Sus scrofa: one gene and its partners. The protein of the gene in region 2 interacts with the protein of the main gene of each other region in a pairwise test. Links are inferred from orthologs where the notes say so. Each region holds a gene or a part of one and is shown on either strand. Other genes may lie near its edges. The genes, in order: FOXR1, PPCDC and TXN2.

Region 1 (4,243 bases), on a different chromosome or scaffold from region 2:
CAGGAACTTCCATGTGCCTTAGCCATAACAAAACAAAAGTATCTCAAACTGAGCATGTCCAGAACAGAATTCCTGATTTTCCTCCCTCAACCATTCTACCAGAAGCTTCCCCCATCTCAGTCCAACTCCATCCTTCCACTTGATCAGCCAAAAACTCTGAAGGAGTCATCCTCTAATCTCTTTTTCTTAAACCACACATCCAATCCATCAAACAAATCCAGCTGGTTCTACCTTCTTACCATATCCTCTGCCACCACCCTAGTGGTCCAATCTGCATAATTTGTAGGGCCCAGTGCAAAATGAAAGTGTGGGGCTCCTTGTTCAAAAATTATTAAAGTATATATATATATATTTTATGGCTGCACCTGTGGCATATGGAAGTTCCTAGGCCATCGAGCCACAGCTATGACCTGAGCAGCTGCAGATTTTTAACCCACTGCACCACAGTGGGAATTATAATCTTAATGATTTTAAGATTATTAGTGATAGCAGAAGATTAAACCAAGTTAGGCATCCTATCACACACTCATTCCTCCGCTCCAAACCTTTTCGCCATTCAGAATCTTACTTAAGGTCAATCCCAGTGCCCCCAGAGTGGAAGAGGTCTCTTCCTGATCTCTGCTCCACGCCTCACGAGTCTGAACTCTCCTCTTTATTTACTTTTTTTTTTTTTTTTAAGACCCACACCTGCGGCTTATGGGGTTCCCAGGCTAGGGGTCAAACCAGAGATGCAGCTGCCGGCCTACATCACAGCTCTCAGCAACTGAACGGATTGAACTGGCGTCCTCATGGATACTAGTTGGGTTGGTTACCACTGAGCCACGATGGGAACTCTGTCTTTATTTGCTTTGATTCCGGCCTCACTGGCCTGTTAACCGGTTCCATAAACACTTCCAGGCATATTCCTTCCTGAGGGCTTTTACACAGGCTATTTCTTCTGCAATAGAGTCTTTTCCTCTAAGTATCCTCCTGGCTCACTACCTCACCTCCTTCAACTCTTTTCAAATATTTTTTTCCCAAATCAGACCAGCTTGATGACCCTATTTAAAACTGTAGCTTCTACCACTTCCTCACCCTGATTCCAGAGACCTCTTACAGAGTCCTTTAAAAAACAACAACCCATCTCAGCTATCATCTTATAACATACTATATAAATATTTTAATGTGGATTGTCTGTTTGGCCCCAGTAGAATATCAGCTCCATGAAGACCTGTCTGTTTTGTTCATTATGGATCATGTGAGTATCCAGAACACTGCCTGATAAATTGGAGGTACTCAATAAATATTTCTTTTAATCAGTGAAGACAAAGGAATGTCATTACTTATGATGGCAAAGAGTTCCAATGGAGTTTTGTCTCCATTAGGAAGGTGAATTAAAATGCAAAGGTGGAGCTCCCATCATGGTGCAGTGGAAATGAATCCGACTAGGAACCACAAGGTTGAGGGTTCAATCCCTGGCTGTGCTCAGTGGCTTAAGGATTTGGCATTGCTGTGGCTGTGGTGTAGGTCTGCAGCTGTAGCTCCTCTGATTGGACCCCTAGCCTGGGAACCTCCATATGCCTCTGGTGTGGCCCTAACAAGCCAAAAAAAAAAAAAAAATATATATATATATATATATATATATATGCAAAAGGTAGTAAATGCAGATGATAGAATACTACACAGCAGTCAGAAATGATGAACCAGATCTCCATTAAGCAACTCAAATTACTCTCAAAAACAATGTGAATAGGGAAAAAAAACCAATGAGCATTATGTAAATTAAGGTCACCTATAAACAACAAAATGCTAAACAGTTTTCAAAGATACACCTATCTAAGGACATTAAATGGATTAGGGTAGATACTTGAGTGTGTGGGAGGCAGCAAAAAGGGTGGATTGAAGGAGGAAAATAAATTAATCCAAGCACTTTGCTGGAACAGAGGCAATCATGTACCAGGAAAGTGGGAGGTGATTACCTCAACTCTCAACACTTGAGACCAAAGGAAAAAATAGGTATTTTTACAGACAACAGTCAACTACCCATTCAGCAAATACTGAGCACCTCAAGGTGTCAGACATGTATTAAGAAGTGGGATACAGCGATGAACAAAATTAACAGAAGAAAATTTTTGAAGAGACAAATGAGCGAAATACGCGACGGGTCCAAATGGCGTAGGTGCCACGGGGAAAAGGCAAGAGGCCTAGAAGGTTCTGGGACGGAGCCGGAAAGGGGGTGGTGGTAAGGTTTAAAGGTCGTTTTCAGGCAGGACCCCTGCCCTCCGTGGGCTTTCGGTCGAGGCGGAGACCCCATAGCCACTTGGAAAAAATGGGGGCGGGGTGGAGGGGGCTCCTGGGCTCAGCAAAGGGGGCGCGGGGCCCCAAAAGGCGACCTCATCACGGGGCTGGGGGGTCGGCGAGAAGGTCAAAGGCCGAGGAATCCGCTCCCACGAGCCCCCGACCCACCGCGGCGCGCCCCTCCCCCACGGCCCGAGCCCAGACACTTACGGTTCTGTTCCGCTAAGGGCAGGTGAGTCGTGGTGAAGGCCAGAAAGGACTCGTTCCCCATGTCCCAGTCCAACAATCCTGGGACCTGGCCATGGAGGCTGGCCCAGAAGTCGAGGTGCTGGAGTTTCAGGTCCACGTTTAGAGAGAGGAGGGAGAGCCAGCCACAGGGTGGGCGCGAGTCGGGAGAGACTGAGGCTGAGGCCTGGGAGGCACTTCCTCAAATCCCCGCGCTCTGGGATGGAGTTAGGTTGGAGCCCGCTCAGGTGTGCAGAGTCCCCATCTGACACCCTTGATCCCGGGCCTCTGCTGAGTGCTCCACGCCACGTCTTTCCGCAACCCCGCACGCTTTCAAAGGGGGGTTTGGGCAGTTTGGGGGTCCGGAAGGGAGGTATCCCAGGCCCTCTGCCCAGTCTACATTTGCTCCAAGCCCTTATTTAATTTAGTAAATCAGTCTGTCATTTAAGAATGAACCCGCAGTGGTATGAAAAGCTACTTTCTAGGAGTTCGGAAGATTTCATGGTTTATCCACAATCGCATCTGTTAGTACAGGGTGGAGATAGGATTAAAGGGTGATTTTTATGATTTGACTTGATGTGATTTTGGGATGGTGATTTTAAAATCTTGTTTTTAATTTCAAATTTACAGAAAAGCCCCAAGATTACTATAAAAAATGCCAGTATTTTTTTTTTAAAGGGAGTTCCCACTGTGGTGCACCAGGTTGAGGATCTGGAGTTTTCTCTGTCCTGGATTCCATATCCACTCTATATGCCCTAGCAGCTGTTGCATAGGTCGCAGCTGCAGCTCATATTTGCTACCCACCCCACTCCTGGGGAATTTCCACATGCCCTGTGTGCACCCCAGAGGTGGGGAAAAAAAATTCCAGTATACCTAAATCCGGTAGGTCACCAATTACACCAATTATTATTAATGTTTTTTTGTCACATTTTTGTTGTTCTCTCTGTGTAAGAGGTATGTTATTTTTTTCTGAACTACTTGAGAGTAATTTGCAGACCTCATGTCCCTTTACCCATAAATACTTCAATGAATATTTCCTAAAAACAAGGAAATCCTGTTTCTCATCAAGTTTGGACCCACTAATTCGAGCATCCATTTATGATTCTTTTTTTTTCCATTTTTATTTATTTATTTATTTATTATTATTTTATTGTTATTGCCCCAATACAATTTTTTTCCCACTGTACAGCATGGGGACCCAGTTACACATACATGTATATGTATTTTTTCTCACATTATCATGCTCCATCATAAGTAACTAGACATAGTTCTCAGTGGTACACAGCAGGATCTCATTGTTAATCCATTCCAAAAGCAATTGTTTGCATCCATTAACCCCCAGCTCCCAATTGATTCCACTCCCTCCCCTTCCCCCCAGGCAACCACAAGTCTCTTCTCCAAGTCCATGATTTTCTTTTCTGTGGAACGGTTCTTTTGTGTTGGATATTAGATACCAGATATAAGTAATATCATATGGTATTTGTCTTTCTCTTTCCGACTTACTTCACTAAGTATGAGAGTCTCTAGTTCCATCCATGTTGCTGCAAGTGGCATTATTTTGTTCTTTTTTATGGCTAATATTCCATTGTGTATATATACACACCATATCTTCCTAATCCAATCATCTGTCAGTGAACATTTGGGTTGTTTCCTTGTCTTGGCTATTGTGAATAGAGCTGCAATGAACATGAGGGTGCATGTGTGATTTTAAGGAAAGTTTTATCTGGATATATGCCCAGGA
Region 2 (3,644 bases):
GAAGCCTTCCCAGTGGGGCTGGTGCCAGGCTGGCAGGGCGGCTGGAGCAGGTCAGGCTCCCGGCCACTTTCATCTTCTTGGCTGAGTGTTGTGTGTAGCCAGCACCGTCTCACCAGATCTCCAGGCTTCCCACCGGCTGGCGAGCAGCCAGCTGATGTGACAAAGCACACTGACCTCCAGGAGCTAAGCCCCGGTCTGGCCAACTTTGTGAGGTCTCCTTCCTTCCTTCTGAAAGCTGTTTTCCTCTTTTCTTCAAAGCTCACCACTCCCTGAAATCTTTAGGGTTTCCCTCCTACTGAGTTGGCTGCGCAATGGATCATGTTCTCAAGATGAGCCCCGAGGCCCTTGGCCTCAAAGGTTGCATTTGAAGGCACAAATACTTCAAAGAACTGAAGAGCTTTTTTTTTTTTTTTTTTTTTTTTTTTGGCTTTTTAGTGCTGCACCCGCAGCATATGGAAGTTCCTAGGCTAAGGGTCGAATAGGAGCTGTAGCTGCTGGCCTATGCCATAACCGCAGCCACAGCAATGTGGGGTCCAAGCCACATCTGCTACCTACACCACAGCTCACAGCAACGCTGGATCCTTAACCCACTGAGCGAGGCCAGAAATCGAACCTGCGCCCTCATGGATGCTAGTCAGATTCGTTTCTGCTGAGACACGACGGGAACTCCAAAGAACTTCAAGTCTTATAAAGTTTAAACTATTGCCATCATGATCTGTGGCTCTGTCTTCTCTCAGAAGATATTTTTTCCTTATATAACCCCCAAAGACACTTGCCCTGCTTCCTCCCTCCTTCAGGTCTTCTTCCTTTCCAGTATCCAGAACTTGGGGTGCTATCAGGGCAGCGTGCTAGGCATGAACCTGTGCTCCCAATCTCTGGGCCCTGGGCCTGGGTGAGGTGCATCTGTCCTCTGGCCCTTCTTTGTTCTCAGTAATGCAGCAGATCCAGAAAGAGAAGGTGACTTTCCTGGGTCACCAGTCCAGCTGGGAGCTGGTCTTCTGACACGGATCCAGGGCTTCTCTTCACCCAAGTGGATTCCCAGGGGCAGAGCCTGAGGTGCTGCACACAACATTGGCCAAACAAGTGACTGTGGGAACTGATGCCTCCTTTCAGCCCTCCTACTGCTGGAAGGTTTGGAGGAGCTGTGGTTTGTCCAGGAAACGCTGAGCTTTGAGATGGGGTGGGAAAAGCTAGAGAGGTGGGGGGGCATGGAGATGTTGGGTTTGTGCTCTGGCTGGTGTGTTTTGCTTTGAGCGCCTTTAGAAACCCCAGCCCTGCCTCTGCCTCCCACACAGTCAAGGGGCTCTTCTAGGGATGCTCATGACTTCCACAGAAGCAGCAGGTGGCACGTGGCCAAGAGGAAGTGTGGACTGAAACTGTCCACTCATAGCCTGGTTGCCTCATTACGAGGACTGGGTGGGAAACAAACACTGGTGTCTGGGACGACGCAAGCAGCCAGATCCTGAGGCTGTGTGCTGTCCCACTTCCTTCCTGTCCTAGGAGAGGGCAAGGGCACTGAGAAGGACAGGCATTTTCTCTGGCCTGTTTGTGGCATTGTTGTCTGGACTCCCCCTCTTTTCCCAGACAGGATCCACTTCAGGGAAAGGGTGTGTCAGCCGCTATCTCCCTAAAGGGTCCACAGCCCAGGCAGAGGCACCTGGAGCAGTCAGAGCCCAGGGGAGCACATTCCTAGGGGACTCAGAGCTTATTTCTCCCCGAGACACCCCTATCCTTGTTATAATAACAGGAGCTACTATTTCTGGAGGCCATACTTTGTGCCAGGCCTTGTGCGAAGAGCTTTATAAGTGAGCACACACCCTCTGTCCTCATGACTGCTCGGTGAGGGGGCTTTTGCAGAGAGGAAGCTGAGACTCCTGGCGTGAAGGAACAAGTGTTCAAGTTCTCATGGCTAGTGACAGCAGATAGCGCAGCAAGATTTGAACCCAGGTCCACGTGATTGCAAAGCTCACGGCACTGAGGACTCTGTGAGCTGCTTCTGTCTGCAAGGGCCGGCTCTGGGGAAGACATTGCTTGGGCACAGGGAGCCTTGTTTGCACAGGAGGAGAGGTCTGCTTAGAAGTGGCTGGGTCATTGCCAGAGTTGGTAGAGCATCTCCTGTGTGTAGCCTGTGGGGAGGTGAGAGGACCAGGGGACATGGCCCCACCCCGAGGCTGAGACAGCTCCACAGACAGCAAACTGAGCCCACAGTCCCCCCACCCCCCTCTTCACAGACCTGTGTCATCCGGGCCTGGGACCGCAGCAAGCCCCTGCTCTTCTGCCCAGCAATGAACACTGCCATGTGGGAGCACCCCCTCACTGAGCAGCAGGTGTGCCAGCTCAAGGCCTTCGGCTATGTCGAGATCCCCTGTGTGGCCAAGAAGCTGGTCTGTGGAGACCAAGGTGGGTGTCTGGCCAGGCTCACAGCTCATTCCTACGGCCTGGGGCTGGGGCAGGGCTCAGCTTCAGATCCTAGTCTGCTGTGACCTCAGGTAAAACCCTTCTCCTTTGAGCTCGGCTTTCTCATCTGGGAAATGGAAATGGAAATTCTTCCTTGTCAGAGTTGTTAGGATTAAATGAGACAGTAAAATGCCTCGCATCTTCCCTGACATGCAGCCCACATAGTTCAGATGGCTACTGTAACCATTCCTGGGACTGTCCGGAGGGTTTCGTGGGAGGGACTGGATGGGTCTGGCTCAGCCCTGGTCCTGCCCTTCCCAGGCCTCGGGCTCTGGGTGGGGCACTGGGGAGCACTGGGTGGGGTGGGTGGGGAATGGTCCCCTGCCTCAGTCTGCAGGGTCACAGTAGAGCTCTGCTCCCCAGGTCTGGGGGCCATGGCTGAGGTGGGCACCATTGTGGACAAAGTGAAAGAAGTCCTCTTCCAGCACGGTGGCTTCCAGCAGAGTTGAACCCGGGATTCCGTCACACATGTCCCTCCGCACTCAGCATGTTTTCAGGCCAAGTTGGTGAAGAAGGTGGCCTTTGACAAAATGGGGTGAAGACTCCCTGCATTTGCTGAACAGGGATCTGACCTGACCCAGGTTAAACTAAACCAAAGGCCCAGGTCCCAACTTCTTTCAACCAGGAGCCACCTGCTTTCTGGAGTTCTTCTCCAGCTTTTCCTGGGATGGGCGCAGCAAGTCCGAGGAGCAAGCTGCGGTATTGTGCCTGTGCTTCGGGAAGGGGACTTAGGAGTGACTGAGAAATCTTGATCCTCCATGGCGCCCAGGAACTGCTTTTAGAAAGAGCCACGGCTGGTGATCCCCAGGCCTTTGGAGCTTCAGCTCTTTGGTGGGTACAGGGAAGCCTATGAATTGGCGGGACCATGCTGTGAGAGGAGTACTGAGAATAAAGAAAAGTGACTTTTGGGGAGACTCCGTTCTTCCTTTATGACTCCATCCTTCCTTTACAGCCTGTCCGGGGTTTTGGTGATTAGGGGCATCGCTAGTTGTGGCTGGGGAAGGGTCTGGGCTGGCAGCTGACCAGCACTTCCTAGTCCCCATGTCGTATGATGATTAAGGGCAAGGGCCTTTGCAGCCAGACAGCCCCTCGTCAGATCCCAGCTCTGCCACGTACTAGCTGTGGGACGTGGCTCAGGGCTCAACCTCTCTGACCCTCACTCTCCTCATCTGTATTATCCTACCTTC
Region 3 (4,227 bases), on a different chromosome or scaffold from region 2:
CCTCCCCCACCCCAAATCATTCATTTGGGAAGCTCTCTCCAATGTGCTCAGCAGACCAGGAGGGCAGGACAGCTCTGCCTTCCACCAACCCCTGCCTGATGACTCCTAATTTTTTTTTTTTTTTTTGCTTTTTAGGGCTGCACCTGCAGCATATGGAGGTTCCCAGGCTAGGGGTAAAATCAGAGCTGTAGCTGCCAGCCTACACCACAGCCACAGCAACTCAGGATCTGAGCTGCATCTCTGACCTACACCACAGCTCACAGCAATGGCAGATCCCCAACCCACTGGCAAGGCCATGGATCCAACTCATGGATACTAGTCGGATTCATTTCCAATGCACCACAACGGGAACTCCCTGTGACTCCTAATTTATTCTCAGCTTTGAAGACCCTCTGCATTCAGAGATTTCAATTAATGAACTCACAACACCTAAAAGCCCCGTCTGCAAGACCTTAGCTCCTACCACACGTGAAGAAAGGGAGGCATAAGGTCATCACATGGCCTGCCCAAGGCAGCATGGTGAGTCAGAGAAAGAAGGCGAAGGAAAGCAAAAGAATCTGTCAGTGGTTTGCCCACAAGGTCTCCCAACTTCTAACTCAGGCTCCCATTTCAGGATGCCCCATTCTGTCGTAAGCCACACGGGAAATCCAAGGATGCCCTATTCTGAAAGGTTTGTCCAGTAGTTTTAGAACCAGGCATCCAGCCAGGCTCCAAAGGTCTGGAAAGGAAGAAGGCCAACAACAACAATAACAACCGAAAAAAAAAAAAAAAAGGCCAGACCGACAACCAGAATGCCATAGGCATTTAAATATCCTTTAAACAAACTCACAGGGCACCAGAAAGAAACTCCTGTCCATCCAGTGCACGCTTGGGCACCCAACTGTTAACTTTTATCAGTGGAACTGACAACTTTTTGCTAGCCCTTCTCCGCTTGGGTGGCAAGATGTTAAACACAATTATCTGCAGAGTCAGGAACTGGTAATATACCAAAAGCCAGATGATACTACAGCCTTATTTTTCCTGCTTTGGTCCAAGCTAAAGATGACCTGAGCCACTTGGGCAGTGAGATACAGAACATAACTGTTTCACAGCACTATTTGGAGTTTTTCTTTCTTTTTTTTTCTTCCTTTTTTTTCTTTTTTCTTTTACAGCCACCCCAAGGCATATGGAGTTCCCAGGAGGGATCAGATCCAGATCTGAGCTGCAATTGGGACCTACATCGCAACTGTGGCAACGATGGATCCTTGAACCCAATGCGCTGGGCTAGGGATCAAATCTGTGGCCTGGAGCTGCAGAGACAACTGCTGCCAATGCCGTTGTACCACCATGGGAATACCCACGGAGTGTTCTGAAGACTGAAGATTGTTTACTAGTCTGCCTCTTCCTTTCTCTTTTGGGCCTCACCTGCAGCATATGGACGTTCCCAGGCTAGGGGTCAAATAGGAGCTACAGCTGCCGGCCTACACCACAGCCACATCAACACCAGACCATTAACCCATTGAGCGAGGCCAGGGATCGAACCCACATCCTCACGAATACTAGTTGGGTTCTCAGCCTGCTGAGCCACAACGGGAACTCCTACTAGTCGGTTTCCTACCAAACTACACTAATCTTTGAGATAAGGGATTCGGTCTCACCGATCTCTATGTGAGAAGCATCAAACATAGTACTGAGACATAGCAGGTGCTCAATAAATACCAGAACAAGTGACACCCAGTCTTCTACTGACCCCCCCAGGACTCACTGTGCATGGAAATCCACAACCACTGGCGTCTCACTGTTGACAACTCGGTCTTGAAAGTCAGGTCCATCCTGGATGTTAAAGGTTGTTGTACAGACCTGGGTAGTGTATAATGACCGGGCTTGGCTGGGTGTTCCTGTCAGGTTACTAAGGCTGAGCTGTGGGGTCTGCAGGGCTCTGGAAGCGAGGGGTGCCCACCGACTATGAGAGGGCTTCCTGGAGACTACAGAGGCCAGGAACCTCCTCAGGAGAAGACGCTGAGCCATCTGTGAAGGGAAGAGGTAGGAAGAGTAGGGGCAAAGAACAGGAAGTCAACACACCAGAAATCAGAAAGGTATGTGGGAGTACCAGGGGGCTCAAGATGCAGGGCCAGAAACAAAATGTTGGGAAATAATACATAAGACTTCTGGAGGAAAAGTGAGTAAAGAATGAGAATCAAGGGGAAAAAGGAATCGAAAACCAGGATGGGAAAACTAGGTCGACAACCCAAAAAGCAGGATATTGGTGAAATTACAACAGACGGAAGGGGGGAAGGAATCAATATTTATGGAGCACCTGCTAAGAGATAGGTATCTTACAGGCATTAGAGTCCTCCCAGATCAACGATGAAGAAGTTTCTACTGTACTACTGCTCATATTATAGATAAGGACTTAGAAGCTCAAGCAAATTGTGACATATCCAAAGCAACCCAATTATTAAAGGAGAGTCGACACTAGAGCCCACGACAGTCTGAAAAGTCCTTACTCTATCGATTACTCTTTTAAAAGGAGTTTTAATGGGAAATTAAAGACAAAGGAGAGTTGTCAAAGGTTCAGGAAAGAAGACAAGCAACAATTCAAATAGGAACGAAGTGACACGGGAGCAGGTGGGGGGGGAATTAATAAAGAAGGGACGTGTGTGTGGAAGGAACTGGGAACCCCGGCTCCCCGAATGGCAAGTTCCTCCCACCCAGGGTTTCTGCCCGCTCGGCCATCGGCCTGCATGGGAACGCGCCTGCAGAGGCGCCTCAGCCGCGATACCACTTCGAACCATCCCCACAGGGCCCCTACCTCCCAGCAACGAGAGCGAAGCGACGCACAGCACGGCCCGCCCCACCGGTCAAGGGCACTTCTGTCGTCACTTCCTGAGGGGCGGGCCTTAGCGTCACTTCCGGGAAAGGCAACCTGAGCAAGTCCTCAACTAGAGGGCAGGCACGGGCGGAGCCTCCGTTAGGGACCGGAAGAGAAGCGTTCTTGAAAAGAGACACCGGAAGATGGGCGGGCTCTTAGGGGAGGAACCGGAAGAGGGGCGGATCATTGGGGAGGGACAGGAAGAGGCCGGAGGGCTCCGGAGGAGGGTCCGGAAGAGGAGGGGAAGGAGGCGGGAGTGCCAGGGAGGGGGGGGGGCGGAGAGAAGGGCGGTGGGGAGGCGTGGTCCTCGAGTTTGCAAACACTTGCTGACCAGCATGTCCACCCTTTTGTCTCATTGTCCTAATGTCGCTTCGAAGCAAAAGACTTCAGTTGGGAGTCCAGAGAACGCTGACTCGTATTTGTCATATGTGACTGTATAACTTCGTGGTTTCGAGCAAGTCTTCCTGCCCTTGGGGACTTCAGTTTCCCAAAATGTGACATGAAAAGCTCAGCTTGTCTTCCACCCTTGTCTCTTTGGGATTGCTGAGAAACTGGGCCCAGACAAGATGCCAACTGGTAGTGATACTTGGAGGGCCTGCCTCTGAGGCCCCAGGCAAAGTGTGATGATCCCTGAATCTACCTGGGCCTGGGCCTTCCTTTCTCACCCATTGTCGCTGTCATGGACAACAGGAGTCTAGGCATTTGTGTGTCTCAGGCTGGTCTCACAGCCACCCCTTGTCTCCCTTGCACCCTTTACCTATGTTAGAGCAGGAAAGGGCTGTGGGGTTTCAGAGCAGAAATAGAGGCAGAGAGTCCAGAGCGTTGAGGCTTCAAGTAGGTTTACTGAACAGAAGATGGCCAGAAGCACTGAGAGAAAGCACAGGCTCCCTGGTATTAGCGGGGGAATAGGTTTTATAGAGGCTTGTGGCTAAAGTAACCAGTGTCAGGGCTGGCATCAGGCTACATGGGAGGGGTAGGAGGAGAGGTGAGGGGTTGTAACAATGTTCCATGATATGGTGGGAACTGAAGATTAGCAAAGACAAAATGCAGTTAGGGCAGTCATCATTCCAGAACAGGCTGCTCTTGGTTGAACAAGATAAGGGAGTCGGCAGTTTGAGGGATTAAATCTGGCTCTAAGACCTTACAACCACTCATAACTTCTTATGGTTCTATGAATAAATCAATGCTTCTCCCTCCTCCCTGCCTTTGCTTAACTTGAAAGCCTTTTTTCTATGTCCACTCGGTAGAACACCTACTCATACTTCTTGAGCAGCATTAATTGCCTTTTTCTCTCTGGTGCTTTGTCCATAACACACTGCACAGTGTCTGTCTCTCCCGTGAGACCATATGCTCCCTGAGCATAGGGATCTCCAGCT

What was found.
Region 1: the proteins of PPCDC (region 2) and FOXR1 interact in binary tests that used the Homo sapiens proteins (3 or more experiments, as listed by UniProt). The two-hybrid records come from large-scale screens. The link is inferred for Sus scrofa from reciprocal best matches to the Homo sapiens genes PPCDC and FOXR1.
Region 3: the proteins of PPCDC (region 2) and TXN2 interact in binary tests that used the Homo sapiens proteins (3 or more experiments, as listed by UniProt). The two-hybrid records come from large-scale screens. The link is inferred for Sus scrofa from reciprocal best matches to the Homo sapiens genes PPCDC and TXN2.

What each region holds. Positions count from the first base shown.
Region 1 is NC_010451.4:46,207,389-46,211,631, reverse strand, and holds the start of FOXR1 (forkhead box protein R1), read right to left. Parts: upstream 2,883-4,243; 5' UTR 2,549-2,882; coding exon 2,488-2,548; intron 1-2,487. UniProt on the Homo sapiens protein: Transcription factor which acts as both an activator and a repressor.
Region 2 is NC_010449.5:58,525,234-58,528,877, reverse strand, and holds the end of PPCDC (phosphopantothenoylcysteine decarboxylase), read left to right. Parts: exon of another isoform or gene 1-411; intron 412-2,231; coding exon 2,232-2,400; intron 2,401-2,820; coding exon 2,821-2,906; 3' UTR 2,907-3,371; downstream 3,372-3,644. UniProt on the Homo sapiens protein: Catalyzes the decarboxylation of the cysteine moiety of 4-phosphopantothenoylcysteine to form 4'-phosphopantotheine and this reaction forms part of the biosynthesis of coenzyme A.
Region 3 is NC_010447.5:11,263,223-11,267,449, reverse strand, and holds the start of TXN2 (thioredoxin, mitochondrial), read right to left. Parts: upstream 2,812-4,227; 5' UTR 2,775-2,811; coding exon 2,736-2,774; intron 2,008-2,735; coding exon 1,745-2,007; intron 1-1,744.